Linked DNA regions of Caenorhabditis elegans. The protein of the gene in region 2 interacts with the protein of the main gene of each other region in a pairwise test. Each region holds a gene or a part of one and is shown on either strand. Other genes may lie near its edges.

The links. Proteins that work in one complex are often made in the same cells at the same time.
Region 1: the proteins of nhr-1 (region 2) and lips-9 interact in a two-hybrid assay, tested with the Caenorhabditis elegans proteins (one large-scale study listed by BioGRID).

The regions. Positions count from the first base shown.
Region 1 is NC_003280.10:12,930,058-12,940,994, forward strand, and holds lips-9 (LIPaSe related), read right to left. Parts: upstream 5,306-10,937; 5' UTR 5,301-5,305; coding exon 5,035-5,300; intron 4,982-5,034; coding exon 4,867-4,981; intron 4,695-4,866; coding exon 4,592-4,694; intron 4,485-4,591; coding exon 4,276-4,484; intron 4,186-4,275; coding exon 4,093-4,185; intron 4,043-4,092; coding exon 3,920-4,042; 3' UTR 3,797-3,919; downstream 1-3,796. Other genes in the region: dct-18 (DAF-16/FOXO Controlled, germline Tumor affecting), read left to right, coding at 1,817-2,039, 2,806-2,944, 2,995-3,223, 3,292-3,372; arrd-10 (Arrestin C-terminal-like domain-containing protein), read left to right, coding at 10,053-10,112, 10,318-10,389, 10,444-10,545, 10,595-10,714.
Region 2 is NC_003284.9:17,513,390-17,524,326, reverse strand, and holds the start of nhr-1 (Nuclear hormone receptor family member nhr-1), read right to left. Parts: upstream 4,593-10,937; 5' UTR 4,311-4,592; coding exon 4,121-4,310; intron 3,505-4,120; coding exon 3,417-3,504; intron 3,345-3,416; exon of another isoform or gene 3,136-3,344; intron 2,103-3,135; coding exon 2,023-2,102; intron 1,912-2,022; coding exon 1,846-1,911; intron 853-1,845; coding exon 734-852; intron 504-733; coding exon 357-503; intron 308-356; coding exon 173-307; coding exon of another isoform or gene 44-172; intron 1-43. UniProt on the Caenorhabditis elegans protein: Orphan nuclear receptor which acts in concert with the insulin/IGF-1-like signaling (IIS) pathway during osmotic stress, perhaps in response to a ligand modified by the sulfotransferase ssu-1.

The DNA of each region.
Region 1 (10,937 bases), on a different chromosome or scaffold from region 2:
GCAATTGCCGAAATAGCCATTTACCAAAAATTCCCAAAACCGGCAATTGCCGAAATTGTAGATTGCTGGAAATTTGTATTTTTGGCAATTGGCAAAATTACCGGTTTGCCGGAAATTTCAATTCCGGCAATTTGCAGATTTGCCGATTTGCAGGAAAAAATCGTTTCCCGCCTACCCCTGGTCTATAACTTCAAAGTTTCAAATAAGTACCATGTGAAGATTAACCCCGATTATCGACCAGTCCATCTCCAAACTGCAAAACACTATTTTCAAACTGCCATATTGAAATATCATATTATAGTTCGAAACGTGTGTTCTACTGATAACAACACCATCCCTTTATTTGATTAAGTTAGACTTTGCACTGATAATACACATCGTTTAATTAAAATAAAACTAGAAGGTATTCATCTTAGATGCCCTACTACGTAGTACTCTACACTTTAAAAGGTTTTATCTTGTTTCATTTTGCAGATATTAATACATATTCAACTGCAAAAATATAGAAAAAGAAATTACAAATATTTTGCCAATCGACTATTTTTGTATAGGACAAACGACAACTGAGATATATGCATTGAAAGTATATGTTTGAAGAAAAGAAAATCGCGTATTCGTGTAGTTTTTGATTTGACAAAAGTGTGAGTCACATTTTGGTACACATATGTACGCCCTATTTCTAGAATTGGCATGTTCTTAAATGTTATTAATTTTTTTTCCAAAAAAAAAATAATGGATTGTTAGAATTTGTTTCAAAAATTGTCCTTAAATCTAGTAAATAGCCTATTTATTTAATTTATTTATTAAAATGTGAAGAAAGCTAGATGAAGTTCTAATAGGTAGGTAGGCAGGTAGGTAGGTCGGTAGGTGGGTAGGCACAGGGATGGGCGGCAAACGATTTTTTCCGGCAAATTTGCAAATCGGCAAATTTCCGGAATTGAAAATTTCCGGCAAATCGGCAAACCGGCAAATTGCAGGGTTAGAAAATTCCCCTCTAAACATTTCCGGCAAATCTGATATTCGGCGAACGGCAAATTGACAATTTGCCAAAGTGAGTATTTCCGGCAAATCTGATATTCGGCGAACGGCAAACCGGCAATTTGCCAAAATAAATATTTCCAGCAAATCGGTAAACCGGCGATTTGCCGATTCGCCGAGTTTGTCGACAAATCAATTTGCCAAACGGCATTTGCCGCCCACCCCTGGGAAGGTAGGTAGATAGGTAGTTGGGTATGGGTATGGGTATGTATGTATTTATTTTTTTCGAATTTTCATTTTTCAAATATGGTTTAATTGCAAGAATACACTAAATTTCTAAAAAGGTTCTTTTTGTAATTTTGCAACATGCCAAAACTTTAATGTTTTGGGCCATACTTTGTCAAAATTTGCACTGGCGCTACTCTTGAAAATTCCATGTAAAAAATGTGTCCTTATTTTTGACAGTGCCTATTGTGCCTATTTTGAAACTTTCCTCCAAAACCACAAATTCCATCAATTATTCATCCCAGGAATAGCCACGTCGTCGGTAAGTACACGTCGCATACCGCCTCTCTATTGTATTTGCCCTCCACCAGCGTCTCTCAAATCCATACACTATCTCTGAGCACTAATCAAATTTGGAGCCATCTCCGCAATTGGCTTCTTATCAGGTCATATATTGATAAGAACCAGAAACTTTTCTTCTTTTCCTTATATTGCATTCTACAAATCGTATTGTGCTCGTTGTGTTTGAACAGCCTTAATTCTATTGTTCATTTTTTTTTCAACAATTTCAGTTTCCTCAAATTTTCAAATTTCAATTCCCAAAAATTCCAGCATGCTATTCAAGTGGCTCGTTCTTGCCGCCTTCGTGACTGTGGCCTGGTCCAAGTGCGAGGACGGAGTGGATAATGTCATCAAGTTCACGGACACCACCAGAGGAAAGGGAAAAATTATTTTCACCGATTTCGAGGTGACCACCTACGATGAGAACAAGGAGCCATCTTGCAAGAAGGGAAAGCCGCAGTTCAGACTTCCAGGACACTTCAAGCTTCACAAGGGTTAGTTTTGTTTTTTGAACTCTGTGAAATTGTGTGTGATAAACAAGCTACGTAGCGGCACGTCAGACCGACAAATATGGGTCATAATGAATTCAAATTTGAAGCTAGTGAATACAAAAAGTATGTGGGAAAATTTGGAAAAGGGACTTTTTAGTCAAAAGATATAACATAAAAAGTTCCAATATTCGAGTTCTAGTCAAAAAGAGGTGCGCCTACCCCATGCCTGGTGCCTGCCTACCTCTTTTATTTGCATGCTGGAGCAGAGTGAAAAATTTGGCAGGAAGTTGGCCTGGACAGATGTCGGCTGCAAATTATTGAGATTTCCGGCGCATCTCTTTGTTTGAGAACCTACCTGCCTTTCTGCCTAGCGCTTCGGTGACCGAATACCGTCTAATTCTTGACACGTCAGGCACATCACTATGCCTTAGGGTCTTCGTACCTGCCTTCATCGCGAGTAAAGTAGACAGGAAGAAGTAGGCATTTTGTGTCTACATAGAAAACCTGAAACACATAATCAGGCACGTCTTCATGCCTAGAAATCTACGTGCCTGCCTGCCTAGAGATTATGTTGATGCCTACCGCATATAATTGACATTTTATAGTTAACTTTGGTGCGTTTGAATTGATTTATTGAAATCAGTCAGATAAAAAATTTGCAGGATTTTTCAAAGGTACTTTAGTAGTAGCTACGCGTGTAGGCATGAGACAGGCGTAGGATACCTTGAAGGCAAGCAAGCCTACAAACCAAGATCCATATTTTTTTCAGGATTCATCACTGTCAACGAGCCAATCACCGACGAAGACTCCCTGGAGCTCGCGCTGAACGTCGAGAAGGACAGCTTCATGATCGGAAAAGTGTGCTCCAATGGAAAATCTGAGAACTCGTTTGTCCCGGATCAACTTTGGTTAGCGATTTTAAGCGTTCAATTTACATCTCAAATTGTATATATTTCAGCAAATACACCCTCTGCTCACTTGCTCCAAGTGTGTGCTCGGTCCTCAAGATCAAGACCAACGGACCAATCGACGTGACCCCATTCGTGCAAAAGGAGCCAATTGACATCGGAGCCCTGCCAATTCCACAACTCGGAGGAGACTGGAAGGTCGGAGCAAGAATCGTTCAAAACGGAAAAACCTTGGCTGGAGTTCAACTTGGAAATGGAAAGACGTGGTTGAATATTTATGTGAGTTGAATAGTTGAATAGTTAAATTATTAGATTCCAAAATCAACGAATAAATTTCTAATTTTCAGTCTGAGGAAGGAAAGGGAGGATCAGTGAACTACGACGCAGTGCCACCAGGTGGACCAAGCTTCGATCACGAGGAATTGTAGACTTAATAGTGGTTTTGTTAATTGTTGTTGCTATTTTGACATTATAATTATTATACTTGACATTTAATTTATATAAATAAAAATTTAAGAAAATAGTGGTTTTCAACTAGCAAGGCGCGTTCCAGCCTGAACTAGGCGCTGAGACACAGGTAGGCATATTTCGGCCTGAAGAATTAATCTACATAGGAAAGAATATTAGGCATTAACTAAGCGTAATAAAATCTCCAATAATACTGCTGCAAAACTGGTTTTTTTGAAATTCGTAAAAAAAGCCACAGTAATTCAAAAAATACCTGTTTATTTGGTAGGCACATCTTCAGGCCTTCTTGCCTACATGTTTGCCTACTGCCTGTTTTTCTGCACCTTGCCGAGCACAAGTACACTGTACGCTGGCACGCAGCTTAAATTAATTACAACGTTGAATACATTTCAAATCGTGTTTATTATAGTTCTCTTACACATAAATAATAAAATTCCAATATTTTCAACAATTTCAGATCATTAATAGGGTTTTAACAGGCTAGGCACGGGACACCACAAAACTTCCTTAGGTAACCACATGATCCCTGATCATACGAAGTTGAACCTCATGAGTATCGTCGAACACTTGATCGTGGTTTTTATCAGTGTAGACGCGTTGTCCATTTTGACCGGGGAGTGGGGATGTTAGCTGGAAATTGTTGAATGAAAGGATCATACTAGTTAAGAATTAAGCTGTACCTGTCCACAAACAGTGTATCCAACCATTTGGTCCTTCTGCGTGTAAATTGAGTAGGTGTATTGTCCTTCATAATGTGCAAATTTGTTGATGTCCTGGAATATAAATTATATTTATAAAAGCTTTTAATCTGTACGCACATCCTATCAATTCTTAGGAGGCGGGCAGGCACGCGGCAGGCTTACCTGAAGGAATTCACTTTGTGCTGGGCAGTTTCCAGAGTAAAGACCGTTCACCGAATTGCAGATCGGGGTGATAGAGAGTGCGCAAGCCGGGACTGAAAGTGGTCCGAGTTGTGGAGAAGCTCCACGATTTGGTCCAGCTACTCCGATGTAGGTGTCAACGACACGTGTCAGCGGTTCTCCAAGGTACTCTCCGGTGTCGACGCAACGGCCTGAAAAATCTCAACTATTTCACAACCCTCCATTCGACTTCCGGTTCCCCTACCCTCCACCTACATACATTTCTATGCAAATCAGTTCAAATTTAAACATCAATTACCTCCAAGAATTGCTTTTCTTGACACCGGAACACCAAGCGAGAAACCGATCACATCAACGTTGCGGCCAGTGTACAAGCGGACAGCCACAATTAGAGATCGAACCTGGAAAAGTTTGAAGTGGCTTATTTTAAAGATATCTCTATAACCCTTAAAAATACCAAAAAGTTTAGAAAATTTGCTACATTTTTATAGTTGACAACTTTTTAAAAGCTTCGCTGCTGACTGAGTTACAAGCATTCAAAGCTTTATGCTTTATGAGAGTTGTCTGTCATACCTGCTTAATATATTCACACTTCATCGAGTACTCGATCCATTTCAACGGGTTTCCCTGTGCTCCGTTGAAATATGTTGTTGAATAAATCTCATTCTCTGCGTATTTTCCCTCTTTTCTAAACAAAAATAAAATTATATTCTCACTTTTCTATCAACTTTCAACTGTTACCTGAACCACTGTGCAGCCCAAAATGGCTTCTCGCCGGCTGTATCCGATACTCCGTGGACAATAATCAATGGCTGATTTTTCAGCGTATCATTGCGATTCTTTTTTCCACCGAAAGATCCACCGGGTCCAAGATCCAATCGTTCAATCTGATCTCTAACTTGAGGCCCGTAGTAATCCGCAAGCCATTGTGAGAAGTCAGGTGTGAATTTGGAAGTGACAAAAGATATCAGAAATGTGGATATTGTGAGATTCAGTAACCTTGTCATTTTCTGGAATTAAAATCTATTAGTCTATTAGAATATGTATGTTGCGAAAAATTGAATGCAAGTAGGTTTTCAAAGATTCCAGAGCTAAAATAGGATTGAATTGAAATTTAAAAAAAAAACGCCTGCCTGCCTGCAAGGAAACCTACACGTGCCTAAGTACAGTTAGGCCAAAATTTGATACATGCCTAAATTGGAAGCTTTAGCTTACCGAGGCTCTCTTGAAGTTAGGTATGTAGGCAGGCATGGTTTTGCCAACGTAATGTTTGGCTTTTTCAATACGTTTTTGGCTTTATTTAGAACAATTATAAGAGGTAGGCAGGTAGGCACAAAGCCAAAGAACAATGCCTGCCTACTTTTGGAAGTCTCAGCTTACATCTTCAGTTGAACTTTTGCTGTAGGACAGGAATGCAAGAGCGTGGCGCGTAGGCAGGTAGGCAGGCGTGGTTTTATTCAGGTAGTTTTGGGGTTTATCAACAAAAAAAGAGATAGGCAGATAGGCACGAAAAAAATAATAATGCCTGGCTACTGTCGAAGTCATATTTTCTCAATTTGAATTTTTCCCCAGTGTTCAACTTTGACATCCTATATCTCAATGGTCGTTTGGTCTATTCAAAAATTGCGAACTAGAAAAATTATATATTTCTTTTTCTATTTTTTGTAGCAATCATTTTTTTGATATCTTTAAAATTAACCAGGATATAACCTCTCAAAGAGCAATACCACTACGGTTAGCTGTCCAATGAAATGAAAAAAGTCAAACTACTAAAATAGGCTTCAAATGATAAAAATCGGAACAAAATCCAGGAAAAGTTGAATCATTTCTGAAAAGAAACACAATGAAACACCATCACCACCGCCGTCATCGTCGATGGAGTGTGGCATTTTCTCCTCCTCAAAGACCTCTCCAATCTCACTTCATTCTCTTTTCGTCGGCTTCATCTTATCCTCTCCCGTGGATTTGAAACCAGTTTGCGATTGGGGGAAGGTTGTGTTCTCATGGATTGTTTCTTTGGAGAATGGATATGCCGAAAGTTGCCAGCTTCACTTGGGCAGACTATTGGGTGGACATCTTCTTGATGGATGAAATCGAGAAGTGTCAAAAACCGTTGCGTAGGGCTTGGCGCAACAGATTTTTAGACGCTTAGCAGACTACAAAGAAGACGATGAAGGAGGAGGGAAATTGATACAGTTTACGATAACTGTACAGCTAACTATAATACTAATTGAGTGAGAAACAGTAACAAACTGTAACGCTATAAAAATGTTAAGTTCCTTAATAGTTTTCTTCGCAGCTTTATACACTGAAAGTTTCAATTATACATGTATTTCACCTTTTAATATCCTCAAGGGTTGAAATTCTATTGCTATATTCTGAAAACTTTTGAAAACTCCCAATAATTCTGAAATTGTCCGGAACAAGTTATAGAAAATTTTAAAATATTTGGGCGACTTGTGGAAAAAGGTCTCTGGTATTGTAGGCTTTGGATGCTGTAAACATTTTTTAAAACTAATCTTTTTAAATATTGCAGTTTCAGAAAATTCTCGAAAGAAGGCAGTTTGAAAATTTGTACAAAATTCCAAAAATTGTAAAAATTTAAAACCATTTTTTTTTGCTAATGTCCAAAATTGGCAAAATTTTCAAGAGGTTTTTTTAAACCAAAAAACTGTACATTTTTGAGTTATTTGCCCTTTTTTTGAGTACTTCGCAGTTTTTAAATTTGGCAAATCGGCAAGGAGCTGGTTTACCACGTGCCAAAAAATTTCGTTTGCAGTCCACTTCTGGACCTAGTAGGCTGCAATTGCCGTTCGGCAAATCGGCAAAAAATTGGCCGGAAATTTTGAATTCCGCCTATTTGCGGTTTTGCCGGAAATTTCAATATTGGAAATTTTCAGATTTGCCGGAAATTTTCTATTCCGGTAATTTGTCGATTTGCCGATTTGTCGGAAGTTTTTAAAGGGTTTTTTTTAATACGAAAACACTTAAAAATTTTTTCGATTTGCCGGAAATTTCAATTCCGGCAATTTGCCAATTTGCCGGAATATTTCAATTCCGGCTATTTGCCGATTTGCCGGAATAATTCAGTTCCGGCAATTTTCCGATTTGCCGATTGGCCGGAAATTTTCAATTCCGGCACTTTGTCGATTTTCTGGAAATTTAATTCCGGCTATTTGCCGATTTTCTGGAAATTTAATTCCGGCTATTTGCCGACTTGCAGGAAAATTTCAATTCCGACAATTTGCCGATTTGCCAGAAATTTCGATTCCGGCAGATTGTCGATTTGCCCAAAAAATCGTTTGCCGCCCACCGTTTTCTAGTAGAATTTCAAACCTTCAGTCACAATTTTCCTCAAAAAATCTATCTCCAAATAACCTTGCCCTTCTTAACTTGCAGGAAAACATAATTCACTCAACAATACCGTTACCCCAATATGTCCCAAATTATGCATATAAATTCTGCTCCCTCTCCAAATGAAATGTTGACCGTCGTTCCCCACCTGCTATTTATCACAGTGTGTCCTTCCAAATGTCACCACACCAAAACCACTCCCACTTTTTCTATTTCAATTTCAATTTCTCCCAGTTCATTTCCCAAAATTGTATCCAACGGTTGTCCATTAGGCGGCTCTCCGTCCATCAGTCTGTACCTCCCTTTGTCTTCTTCCATTTTCTAATTGTTCTATCTCTGTCGAATACTCATTTTCCCAGTTGATGTACTCAGGTGTCAACCTAGTTACCCTTTTTTTTATCTTCGTCACTCATCTTTTTGTGTGTCGGTTCAATTTCCAAAATTACCAATTTTTTTCACGATTCTCCTTCTAACTGACGGCAATTTTCAAATGTTTTTCTGACATTAGCTAAACTTTTTCTGAACTTTTTGGAGGTGTCTGAAAAATTAATTCTGAAAAATAAAAATGTTAGTATTACTTTTTATAAATTCTCAAGTGTTTTAGAGAAATTTCAGTGACTACAATCAAAATAATACTGGTAAGATTTTCAAGTGGATTGTTGACAAACTTCTAGAGTGGTTCCAGATGTTTTTAAAAAGTACCCATAGAGTTTTAAAATTCCTAGAAGTGTGATTTAAGATTTGTTTTGAAAATTAAAATTCAAATTTGATGCCAATTTTGAAAAAAAAAATTCGAATTCTGTTTCGCCTTTCTGCCAAAATTTGCCAAAAATTTGGGAAATTATTTTACCATTTTTTTTTTGCCTTTTTTTTGTTGCCAAAATAAGATTTGCCCAAATTGCATAAAATGTTCAAAACTCTGATTTGACGCCAATTTTCAGAAAACGACATTTGGAAATCTCAGAAATTTTCTAAAGAACATTAAAAAAAATATTTCAAAAAATTATTTTAAAAATTAAAAATTTGAACACTGTTTCTATAAATTTAAATTCAAACTTGGCGCCAATTGAAAATAGTTTTTAAAATTACGCCAAAATGTTTTCAAAAAATTTGGAAGACTTTTGGTAATTAAAAAAAAGTTAAATTCTATTTATTAGCGCCAAAATGAGGTTTTTAAATTTTTAATAAAAATTTGGCGACTCTTTAAAAAATTAAATTTCCATGCTCACTGCGAAATTCTGCCAAAAAAATTAATTTTCGAAGTTGCGCCAAATGAGTTTGGCTCCAAATATTTTTTTTTAATTAAGAACTCAAACTTCGCGCTGAAAATGTTTTGTAACCTAGCAATTTTTTTCGAAAAATTATAATTCAAATTTCGCGCCAGTCATCTTTTCTGATAGGATCCTCTTCACAAAATCCGAATATCCGATCACCTAGAGTACATCCGCTTCTCCTCTCCTTCCATCCACTTTTATTATCACCACAGTAATGTCCACATCGCTCTAATGACGTGGCAATTATCTGGGGGCTAATACTCCTACTCAGAGACATAGACTGTCAAACGACACTTACGAAATGACTAAGGGAGTAGCATTCGCCCAGAAAAAAAAAACAGGCGGGGCGTGGTCCGAAGTGAAAACACGTTGGAGACGAAGAGGCGCAGACGAGAAAATGAAATTGGGTTGGAGGAGAGAGGTGACACCACACAATTCGTTTTGTTGAGGAGAGACAACGCAATCATCTGACTTCTTCTCGCCTTTTTGGTTTTCCTTTATAGTTTAAGCTAATAGTACGTACACAACACCTCCATTCACTTAAGAATCTTCTTCCGTCTCTTCTTTCTTGATTTTGAACTTTTGAACCAAGCTATTGGAAGCTTTTTGATTTAAAGGCTGAGTTTCTTATAATACTCCAAAATGGCCAAATATCATATAAAAACACTCCAAAAAGGTTTTAGGGTTTTCAAAATTTTCAGTCAACGTATTGGTAAAATGTCAAAATTTCCAAAAAATGATTTTGAGTTATTTCGAGCATTGCTGCAAGGTTGAACCCCTAGATTGTTCAACTAATAAAATTCAAAACACAATTCAAACTTGAAAATCGTAGAAATTTTTTCGTTCGGACTATACATTTGAAAACTCAAATATTTTTGTAAAAAATATTTTTTTACTATGAAAACATTATATAGAAAACAAGTCATCTAAAAATTAATAATGTGTACTAATTTTATTTTATTAATATTCTTAAACCCAGATCTACAAAAATGAATTAAATTTATCCATTTTAAGCAAAAAATCAGGCACATTTTCTACCGACATTTTTTTTGAAAAGTTTGTGAATATACTTTTTTTGCTAAATCTTAATTTTCCAAAAATTCCTAAACCTAAAATTTTCAGCCAATTCGAATGAAACAAAAACGAGCGATTCGACTTCTGGTACCTGATCGTCCATTACGGGCGGGATGTGTAAGTGACACTTTTCGCTTTTTACTCAAAACATTTTCCGCTAAAACAATAACATTCTCGAAAATCCATTTTCCCGCAAATTTGTTTTACTACAAGTATTAAGGAAGCTAGGAAAAAGAAGCGTACCTAATCCGGCAGTAGTCCGGTTTTTTTCTTCTACGCCAAAATTGAGACGATAATCCAAATTAAACGAGAGATTTTGTAGAAGGAATTGGTGGAATTGTCATTGCGGATCCCCAATGCTGTGCAGATTTTGGAATCGAATGCGGTTTTTGAGGTGAGGAAGAACATTGGACTGGAACCGGTGGAAAACAACAAAATTAAATTTCAGGGTGTATGCCGTGCAACATTTTCCGGACAAGACTCCCAACACACCCTGATTAAGGAGCAACTTCACATTCCATTTACCGCCATTCAACTTCCAACAACTAAAGTGAACTTTTTAGACAGCCAAGCTTTTTCAACAAATTTGCAGTATTCAGGGTATCGATGTGATTCCAGAAGGTCATCACAGGCTCCCAATATTTCTGAACGTTCCTCATCACATGCCAGGAACATTCAACGGGAAATTTGGAGCAATTGTGTATAGGTTTTTGATCAAAGTGAGTTTTTTTAATGATCAAAGTGTGATTTTTAATAGTGAAATTTACTAGGAAACCGAGACTTATGCGATTCGATAGCCCATGTCTTATAACGGTTACTCGTGTATATTTAGTGGCAAATCTTCAGAACCCAGCTCACGGCGGGCTCTCAAAAATACTGAAAATAGCACTAAGCAATGAAGGGTCTATTTTCCAAATTTACTTTGGTAGCTCATATCTCCGC
Region 2 (10,937 bases):
GAAGCTAATGAAACTCCAGCGCTGATATTTAATAATTTAAAACTCAAAATTGCAGTTGTTCTAGAATTTTCTGGGAAAAAACAACTTCAGATTTGCCTAGCTTTCCGACAGCATAATTTTTGGGCAGAATGAAAACTTCAATCCCCCAACAGCCAAAGTTTCTTGTACCCACCTGATCAAAAAGGTTGAGCCTCTGGTAAACATCGAACGTCTTTGCCCACTCGATGCAGATGCGCATCTCGCGAATGTTCCACATACGAATGTCGTTCATCGACGCCGGGAAGAGCTCTTTGAAAATCGTATTGGTCTGAAGTTAAAATGAATGGGTGACTGGGAACGTGAGACTAGTTGATCACCAGACTCACGTCTACTTTAAGGTCAGTGGTCTCAAAAAGTAGGCAAGGGGACGTCAGTGCATGTGTCACTCCGGTCACTTCAGGAATTATGCAGCGTCGCAACTCCTGGCACAGCCCTTCAACTTGTGTGAGCTGGTCGATGATTTCCTGAAAAAAAAATTTAAGCAAGAAAAAACCTAGCAGCAATTTCTATTTGCTATGTCTCGAGTTTGTTTGGACCCTTTCTCTTTTTTCGAGCGTGCTCAGATTCATTTTCCTCAGCCTTCCGCCAGGAAGCCCCATATTAGGTTACAATGATCAGAAACCATTGAAACATGTTAAAATTGTTGAAATTCAAGATGCATCCAAATTGGGGTAAATGTGTTTCGCCCACTGACCTGGTCCTGAAGACGGTGTGGAGTGGTGGCTTGCTCGTCGTCAGATCCGCTGCTCATCTTGATTTTCTTCGTTGGCCCAATCCGATCTCGATCATTCTGGATTGCTGGAATTTGTAAGGCTAAACTTCATTTGCCGACAGTTCTAAGGATGGGCGGGGGACCACTGGTTCCTAGTGTTTTCAATAAAATATAGACAATTTTTCTCCAAACATTTTACAGCGCCAAAAAATTAAGTGTAAACTGACAACTCCTTCCGCTTATTTCTCAAAATTTACTCGGTAATAGAGCAAAAATTGCTGTCAAGTTATTTTGGCATTTATAATATATGAATAAACTGAAATGTGATGTGGTTTTAAATCAATATTTGCGTTGTTTCACTAAAGTTCCATTCTATTAAACTCCCAATAAATAACTAATTGGCAACAAATTTTTTTCCTGTTAATTTTTCAGTATAGAAAATTTTCATCTTTCATTTTTTATCACGAATTTCGATGCAAAAAGTCCTGCTTCTGAATAAAAATTGAGCATAGTTTGTTGTCAGTTTACGTCAGCGTTTTTTAAGCAAATTTATATGTTGTAGAATTTTTCGCAACAAACTTTTACGTCATTTTATAAATTTTTCACTTAGTTCCTTTTCAGTCTTGACGGAAATAGCTAGATTGTTATGCTCTCAATGTCAAAACAAATTATCTTGTTTTTTTTCTCACTTAATGAAATCATAATTTTCATATATTTTCCCAGTATTTTTAACAAATGATTTCAGATTTTCAAATCTCGATTTTCAGCTAGCAAAACCGACTGATCACTCAAATTGAAGCCTTTCAAAAGGGTGTTTTTCATTTGAGAAGAGAAAATAAGCAAAAGTTCCAATAAAGTGTCTATAAATTCGTGAATTCGTGAATCCGCGGCTTAACTCAAACCACAGAGCCACACCAGAGATCAACTTCACGTGTTTTGGTGTGATTTTCCCGCCGGAAAAATAACCCCAGAGGTCAAAGCTCTAATTATCACGCTTCTTGTTTTGGTGTCGGTATCTTTAATTTGCAATCCCCTGGCTGCTCCGTAGGATGTCATCAAACGGGTTATTGTATATTCAGGAGCTCTTCACTTACCTTTTGCGTCCATCCCCACCAATAGGCATTTGTTGAAGCGGCAGTGACGGCATGCACATCGAATGTCTGCAAGTAGTTTTTTTTTAGTTGAAAAATGCTTTCAAAATAAGCAAAAGTACATGATCAGACACCACCGGACAATTTGCGATTTCCGAGAAAATCTAGAGTAAAACTCACTTTTATTAACATCACAATTTCCATTATATTGGCAAATGAAGGTTTGCTCACTGACTATTGTTCGTCGGAAGAAGGTTTTGCTGAAAACAGATTTTTAGGTTTGAAGTGAGGAGATGATTTGAAAACTGTCACAAAATTTTGTGAAAAATATATTCAGCGGAAACTTATGATAAACTTGCTTTCAAATGTTCAAAAGTGTTTCCTGAGGTTTCATTTTAATCAAACCTTAAAGTTTATTCGATTTTTTATATTTATTTGAAATACATTTTATTAGCTTTCGAAAAAAGTTATTACCTTCCTCAAACCGATGTCACAAAAAAAAATTGTGTACCGATTAAAATTATTTTAGCCAGCTTTTTCGAAAAGTTTTTAAATTTTCATTTTGCAAAAGTATACTTTTTAAAGGCTAAACATTTGAACAAAGATTAGACTTACAAATCACCATTTTTGGCTTAAAACTAAAAAACTTAAACTATTTTTAACATGAAATACGGCTACTAGTTAAGTACCCTATGTTTTTTGAGTTTTGAAATAGTAATTGACAATTTTTTTTAAAGAAAATCGCAACCAAAATTTCAACAGTAACATTGTTCTGGGGAACACCATCTAGTTCTTTGGTCTTGAAATATTGAATTACTCAATTATTCTAATGTCTCTAATGTAATCTCTCTCTCTAAAATCCAATCAAATTATCAAAATGAGTGAGAAAATCTTGGTACCCTTATGTTGGAAGAGAACATAGACCATCATTAATTTCCTCAGAGCGAAAGAATTGGGGAGGAAAAAAATGTTTCGTGGATTTTTCCCCATCTTTCTAAATTGCCTCGTGCAGCTACTGCTGCCACTATTGCTCTATGTGCTCTCGAAAGCGTGACGCGATTTTCTACTTGATCGCTTTTTTCGCTTTTCTCCCCTTATTCAAAGGGTCTTCTACTTTTACTATTGGCCGAGATGAAAAAAAGAAAAGAGAAAAAATTGAAGACAAGGTGAACTTGGCATGTGTGGTTTTGACAAGAGCAAGCAAACCAGAGAACCAAACCAAAAAAGGAGCCCCTCCATATTCACATAGTCTATTGAGTTCATTGTTTGCTTGTTGGTCACTGAGTGAGGACTAGAAATTTTGGAAGAAGGCAAAACCTAAAGACCAACAAGACACAAAAAGGCCAAGTTTTAAAGGGCCCCTCCTAAGCATTATCACATTTCACTCAGTTTTACCCGTCTCGCTTCAGGCAGCGGAGAGGGGAGGAAACGGATAGCGGAGTGAAGCAAAGAACACGATTGTCCCCAGAGAGCTCAGTGAGCTCCAGCTTCCTAGTCTCATTTGGTGGGGGTCGAGTGTAAAAGTCCAACGTCATTTTATCTTTTCTGGCAACAACAAAAAAACAGCCACGTACCATCCATTGCAGCTAGCCACTCCGTAGTGATATCCAGTGGCAAGGTCCGAGCAAACTGCGCACAGCTCTCCTTCGGGCACTTTCCTTCCTAAAAAAAGTGAAATTTAATATTGTTGGGGGGTTAAGCGTGTTTAAAGAAACTTTTTGAACTGTCTAGGTGGAGAAATCGTAAAGCTTCAAGGTTCGGGAATTTTTAGAGGATTATTGGAAATTTAAAAATTTTTATAAAGTACATTTAAAAAGTGTTATTAGAAATTTTGCAAAAACTATAAATTTTATGGAAAAACCAATTCAACAATGTTGTGTTTTCTTGCAAATTTAAAAAATTTCAGTTCACACTAAACTGACAACACTGTCTCCTCAGTTTATTTCAAATAGATTTGTTTTAAAATTGAATTTACAATTCAACTGAGAAATCACATAGTATTTAAAATGCGGGAATACACAAGTACATCCAACCAATATGATCTTCACAAAAAAATATTTTGAAAAACTGAGCTGCCGAATAGCAAAAAAATGTTGTCAATGTACGCTAGTTCACCTAAATGCTTTGTTTTTCTCATTTCATATTTTCAATTTTGTAAATTCATAAAACCTATTCAGCATCAAAACAAAATTATTTTGAAGAAAGAAACCACTGGGAAAGAGCATGATAATTTACTAAATTTTCCAACTTTCCGAGTAATAAAACGGATAAAACTTACGTTGAGCCATTCGCTTATAAGACGGAAATTTTTGATCATTGCCCATCGAGGATGAGCCGTTGGTGTGGGAAACGGAGGCGGCTGATCCATTCATATACATTGACGGATCCTCGTTGCGTTGCGAGTTGACCATTGGCTGCCCGTAGTTGGCCAGATGGCTTTGCAGTTGATCGGCCAGTGTACCGTTCATACTATAAAACACGTGCATTGGTGGTTCGCCGCGGTGTCCCGAAGAACTGTAGGGGGAAGACGACGGAGCAAAGCACACGTCGTCTTCGGTCGCCAGTCGTTGGTGTTGCGCGAGAATATTTAGTTTCCTTAGTGAGCACACCACCGCCACGTCGTCTCAAGTAGACTACGACAACGAAGGGTGAGCACGATCAAAGAAAAAAAATGAAAGGAGCAGTGAGCGAAGAAAACTGGGAGAAGAAGCTCGGCGAGCTGGAGAGAGCAAAGAAAGAAGAAGAGTGGTGAACTGGGCGGAGCTTGTGGGCGACAACGCCAGGGCCCCCACGAGAGAAAGGGGGCCGTGAAGGGAAGAAAAATGCAATGGGAAAAAAGAAGAAGAAAAAAGAAACGACGAAAAAAAACACGAGGGACCAACGAAGGAGAAGCTCAAAAAATGAGAGGACTGCAAAGGGAAAGGAGACGAATTTTTCCATTTCCTTTTCAACTCAACCATAAGCCTATCTGCTCCATCTTCCAAAATTTCATTCCATTTGGAATTGCTCAATTTGAAACAAGAAAAAAAAATATTGAACAGGTTGATGGATCAAGATGCTTCCAATCGAATTGTTGTGCAAAGTCAGGGGAGGCTTGTAACTTGAATTATGCTTTCTGATATCTGATCAGAGATCGAATTAACTAGAGTCTTTGAATTCCAAGGTCATTTCCGGAGAAACAGAAAACATGTTTTTTTCTTGTGGAGACGATAGAGACCTTTAAATGTTTCTAATCCAGTTAATCAGCCAAAAATTGAAAAAGAGCAGAACCTATATAGTTTCGAGATCTTAAATAGTCTGAAAATAAGATCTATACTTTAAAAAGTTAAATTAACAGAACCATCATGATTTTGAACACTGAAAATTAAAAAAAAATCTCAAAAAGTCGCTGAAAAGGATATCATTTTATCTAGAAAATTAAAAAAACGCCAAGATAGAGGTTGAGCAAAAAAATGCAAGGAACTTTTAGTTGTGGCAATTTTGAATCTAAGTTTCAACTGGCTCAGTGACCTAGGTTATTTTTAGTTTCAAAAATCGTAGTCAAAATAGGACAATAGTCAGGAATGTTGAACGAAGTTTTTTTTAGATTTTTAATGTTCCGTTAATTCCCATCCTTATCTACTTCCTCTGGAAATAGAGTCCAATCCTTTTTTCTGTTGTTTTGTCAAGGTTTTCTTTTTCCGCAAGAAAAAACAGCCAACGTTCTTCCTAATCTGACACCTTTTTCATACCACCAAAATCCGTGGTGTTGGCAGAAGTTTTTTGGATTTTGAAGAAGTAAGCTAATACTCTCAAGGATTATACGATCACTCAGAATATATATATCAATTATAGTTAAGAGCAAGGCACCAACCAACGACTAAAAGCGCAAAAGGCAAAACCCCAAATCTAATCCAATCCATCAAAACTTGATGTGAATGAAAAAAAAAGAGCATGCCTACAAAAAAAAACTCACATTCGGCGAGCGGCGGAGGCTCGTTAATTCGGAATTCGGTTGACGTTGTGTGCTATGTATGAGAAGTATGTGCGGAGGATACTTTCTGAAAAAAAAAAACGAGAAGATATCGGATATGTACACGACGGTGTTTGAGTAGTCGAGTTTCGAGAACGAGGTGCATATGTGTGTATGTGTGTTACAAAGATCGAGAGATGAGCAAAAGAGCAAGAAGATGGAGCAAAAGTTCTTTTTGGAATGACCAATAAGTTGAAGGTTTTGAAAATTATAGTTTAAAAAAAGCTTTAGAAATAGATATTCGAGAAAAAAAAGAAACCATGAGTCACATTTACCATAATATTTTCTTGAACTTTTATACCAGACAGTGTAGACTTTCAACTGTGCGATCAATCAGTCCATACTCTTTTGATTTCGAAACACGTAGATCAGACCATCGTCGTAAAGTTGTGTGTGTTATTTGTCATAAAAATATCTGTCAGCTGATGAAAGGGAAGAGACTAAATTTGAGAAACTTGTCAAAAATTATGAATAATGGTAGAGTCAACGTCACAAAATTGATCAGGCAAGAGAGGAAAAAGGGGGTGGCACAAAAATAGAAACAAGAGCGTGTTTTCGATATGATCAGAGGCAGGGCGGAGGGTTGTTGATAAAAATAATTCTGTTATTGATTTTTTCATGTTTCACTAGATTATTATTTGACATATTTTTAAGAGTAAGTTTAGGAGAGTAGGAGAGTAGAGTAAGTTTAGGAGAGAGCCATAGGCTGAATTTTTTGAAATTGTGGTAAGTTTTATAAATTTAATGAATCGGCTGCAATTAAAGTACAATTTTAAATTAGTAAACTAATATCAAACCATTTTTTTATTTGCTACATATTCTCTAAAATTTCTAGATAGTCCTTATCATTTTAAAATTGAAAAACGTCAGTTTTCGCCATTTTTTGAAAGTTAATAAGAATTTAACAAACTTTAAAAATCATGCTTGACGTAGTTGTATTTGAACATTTTAGGAATTCTAAAATACCAGAATTTTCTACACTTCTAAAAAGCTCAAAAATCCAAAAAAATGTGGCAATTTCCAATAATGTTAACTGACATTCTTGGAATGTTCACTTTGTTTTTTTTGTTAATTTGAATTAATGTAACCACTACTCCTCCTTTCAAAAAAAAATACTGCTACAAAAAAGTTAAACTCAAAGAAAGACCCCCTCGCATTTTCCAAACTCTTTTGAAACATTCAAAAAAGCGCGAGACGGGTGCAAATAACTCGCTCGTTTTATTTTTTTTTCGGCACCAATGATCTAAGATCGTTTTACATTACACTTTCGACCAAAAACAAATTCGAAAGGTGAGGAGGGGATGGGGGGAAGAAACGATGACTTTGAAAATTGGGTCCTTTCGCGCCCGGTTTTCCCGCAGAGGCAGCAGCAAAGACTGATCTTGACGCAAAGATTAGAAGCAATGAAGGAAGGAGGAAGGTGGGGGGAGGTATTCAAGAAGAAGATGCAGAAAGATTGAGTGAAATGACTGGGGAGACGGAGGGAGATATTGATTATTGACCTGAGTTTTATCACTATATCACTTAGTCTTCATCTTCTCAGATTTTCTCAGCCCTCTCCTCCTTCTCACACAACACTGTGATGAACAAAAATTACATTTCCCAGGTTTGCCAAGTTGTTTTAGATCCCTCGAAAAGTATATTCTGATCTTTGAAGGAACAAAAATTCAAAATTCTGTAACTGAATAAGAGATTAAAAATCAAGGGGAGCCACAATTTGATAGGATTGAATGCCTCGTGTGAATTAAGCATTCGGCTTCAACGGAGCAACATTGACATCATCTCTCCTCCCGAAAATTGATATACATTTATTCATTTGGAATATTTAGTCGGTTTTCGTTGTGCTCACTATGAAGGATTGGGGCATATATGATCTCAGCTTTGACACGCGAATGTTGAGTTGTAGAGGATGGAGATCAACTTCCAGGAACGGAAAATGGAGAAGAGTAGAAAATAGAAAAATAACTTTGAATAATAAAATGGTGTTTGAGTTGTTAGAGTATTTCACAAAAAAAAGTTGCAGTTTTTGGAAGGCTAACTGGAAGAAATACGGGTTTTCAGACGTAAGTAGTCATAGGCATTTGTTTTAAAATTATCAGAATATTTTTGACGGTTTCGCTGAAATATATTCAAAATACTTCAGAAAAAATTAAAATCAAAATTTTAAAAAATCATGAAGCTTCATATTTTAATTTCCAGCAACGCTAATGCAGCCTTGTCCTTTTTGAAAAATTTAGATTTTTAAAGTTATATCTGCATTCCTTCAAATTTGAAATTTTTCAAACGTATTTCTAAATGTCAGACAATATACAATCAAAAAAATGTAGAACCTGGAAAATGAAAAGCGCTGAAACCATTTGAAGGTAGTTCTTAGCAAATTTGAAAATCCTATGTTTCCTAAATTAGAGAAACAGATAATACTGTCTGTTTCAGCATACAGTTCTAGTGTGGCATAGAAAATTAAAAAAAAATTATTTAAGAAGAAATTTTCATGGAGCTAGAATGTTCAGGGTTACTTATTCTAAATAAGAAACGTTTTTTTTCTCAGAATTTTCTCAAGAAATTTGTGTGTTTTGAGATCATAACTTTCTCTTCTCAAAAAATAAACGAGAAAATAAGCATTTCAAGAATGTCACACTACCATAGTGACCAGACATTTTTCAAATATCAAATTGTAAATAATAATTCCGCTTTTCAAAGCCGACAATTTCCAGTCATGAATAATCAATGGAAGCCTTTGATAGGCTTAAGCACGAGATATGGGCAGGATAATATTCTTATGGAGCACAAAATTTGGCTTAAGATCGGGAACATAAAGTTCAAAAAACCACAACACACGGGGAAATCCCCTCACTGTGCACAGCCGACGTCATCAGTGTTGTTTGGTGCTTCAAATTATTTCAAACATCTCTTGCGAGGCGAAAAATTTCAACGCATGGCTAAATTGAAAGAAAAAGTTTTCGAATATTCCGAATTGTACCTTCTACAAAACTTTGCCACACTACATATCAGAACTGGATAACAGAAGGGGAAAAGAGACAGGGGGGGGGCACACGTCTCGTGACGCCGTTTCACTTCTTATCCCCCCACTCAAATTGTTAGTCACTGCTACTACATCTTAATTTGATCTGTGAGACTATAAAAACACTTGGAATTTTTTTTTGAAAATACGTATTGATTTTTGAGAAAATTCAAAATTGGAAATTCGTTTTTATTTCGTGTATTATAATTTGGATATGTGATTGTATTTAGAAAAAAAAATTCCACAAAGTTTGGGCAACAGTAAAAGCGAGAAATTGAAAATTTGGTATTATTTTTTTGGCACGCATATTCAGAAAATTTTAATTTTGGCCAAAAATAAGATTATCGAGTTTTTGTGAAAAAAAGGAAAATAATGCTTCGAAAAAAAAATTATCAACCCCAGTAGCAAACCAAAAATGTTTCAAAAACCACAAATTTCAGCGTAAGCAAATTTTTTCCATATCAAAATCAAACATAGAAAATAACAAAAGTCTAAGCATCTGCGCAAGAAGCTGTAGTGAATCTCTCTTGGAAATTCGATTCCGGATGCTTATTCTAGGATGCCTATAATTATACATAAGACGAATGAGAGGGCGGCAGATTCCTAATTATAATACCTATTAGACAAGAAACAAAGAAACGGAAGTTGAAGAAGGTTTTGAGCAAAAATGCCAAGAAACTAGGTAGAAAAGTAAAGATCAAACAGAAAAAAAATCGGGGACAAAATGAGAGAGAGAGAGAGAGAGAAAGCACAACTGAGCACGTTTTGTTTATAGTGACATGAACTGGTCTATGCCACCGAAAAAACCCCTATTTCCACCTGGAACTATGTACAAAAAGATCGAAAATCGAGTGTGTTGCGAAACGTTGTCTTTTTTTCTTTTTTTTTTTTGAAAAAAGAGAGACGAGAGAGGATCTCTGCAAAGTTATCGGTTTTCGGTGTGTTATGTGTAGCGGAAAAATAAATTGTAAACAATTTCGGTTCTGGTTAATTTTGTTTCGAATACACAGGAAATGAATGCTCACGGAGCTGGAAACTCCTAAGTTTTATATAAAATTTTTAGAAACGAGAAAAATGATCGGGAAATGCAACATTTCTGAATTTTCATAAATAATCAATAATAAAAGCTTGAACTTAATATTATATATAATTCTGTTCCAATTGAATTTGGTGGGTGCTAAATATGTTTTTATAAAACTTGAGCAAATGATTGAACAACTAAAAAGTGGCAATTTTCCATTACCAATCCTAACTCAATGTTTCAAAGAGTTCAACTCACATTCTACTAACCAAAAAACACGACTACCTTTTTGAAAACCGTAAAAGGTCAAGAACGTTTGAGGTCTCAAGTTGGTCTGTTCAATGAAACTACTCCGAATGGAATTGGTTTCTGAAAATTTTGGTTTTCAATTTTTTTAGGAAACGGGAGGGGCACTTTGGGAGTCTTGAGACAAATTTTAAAAAATGACAAAAAAGTAAGATGGAGAAGAATAGATTTTGAAAAGAATTGAAAAGTAGCCAAAAGATCAAAGGCGAAAATAGAAAGAAAAATTAAAAGTAGATGGAGAACAAGTGGAGACAAAAAGAAAAACATAGCAAAAGGAGAGAACAACTGGCATCCGACAATGTCTCTGCGTCTCGTGCTCTCTCTCCATTTCCCCGCACAACGAGAAATGCATGACGATAAATGCATGTTGGAGGGAAACTGTGAAAGACACTGAACATTGAGAGAGCGCAGAGACGCAGAGTAGAACGAGAGGCACTGGCCAGAGGGGCTGGGTGAAGTGCAGAGTAGTTGCTGTGGCCAAGCAGTCTTTTCTATTGATTTGCGGACAACGACACACCACGGACGGGCCAAAGAGGCCGCCATTGGGCTGCTGAAGTCTTGATGCGCATCTCTCTCTCACTATTTCAACGTGAAAAGCAAAGAGATGGGAAAGAAGCGAAGTAAAGTCTCGGCAGTTGTTCAGTGACAATCTATTCATTCGAAGATCAGTCTTTTAAGATTGGGACCAAAAACAAGCGTCTTGTCTCAAACAAGTGGTGTTTGGTCGGTTCCAG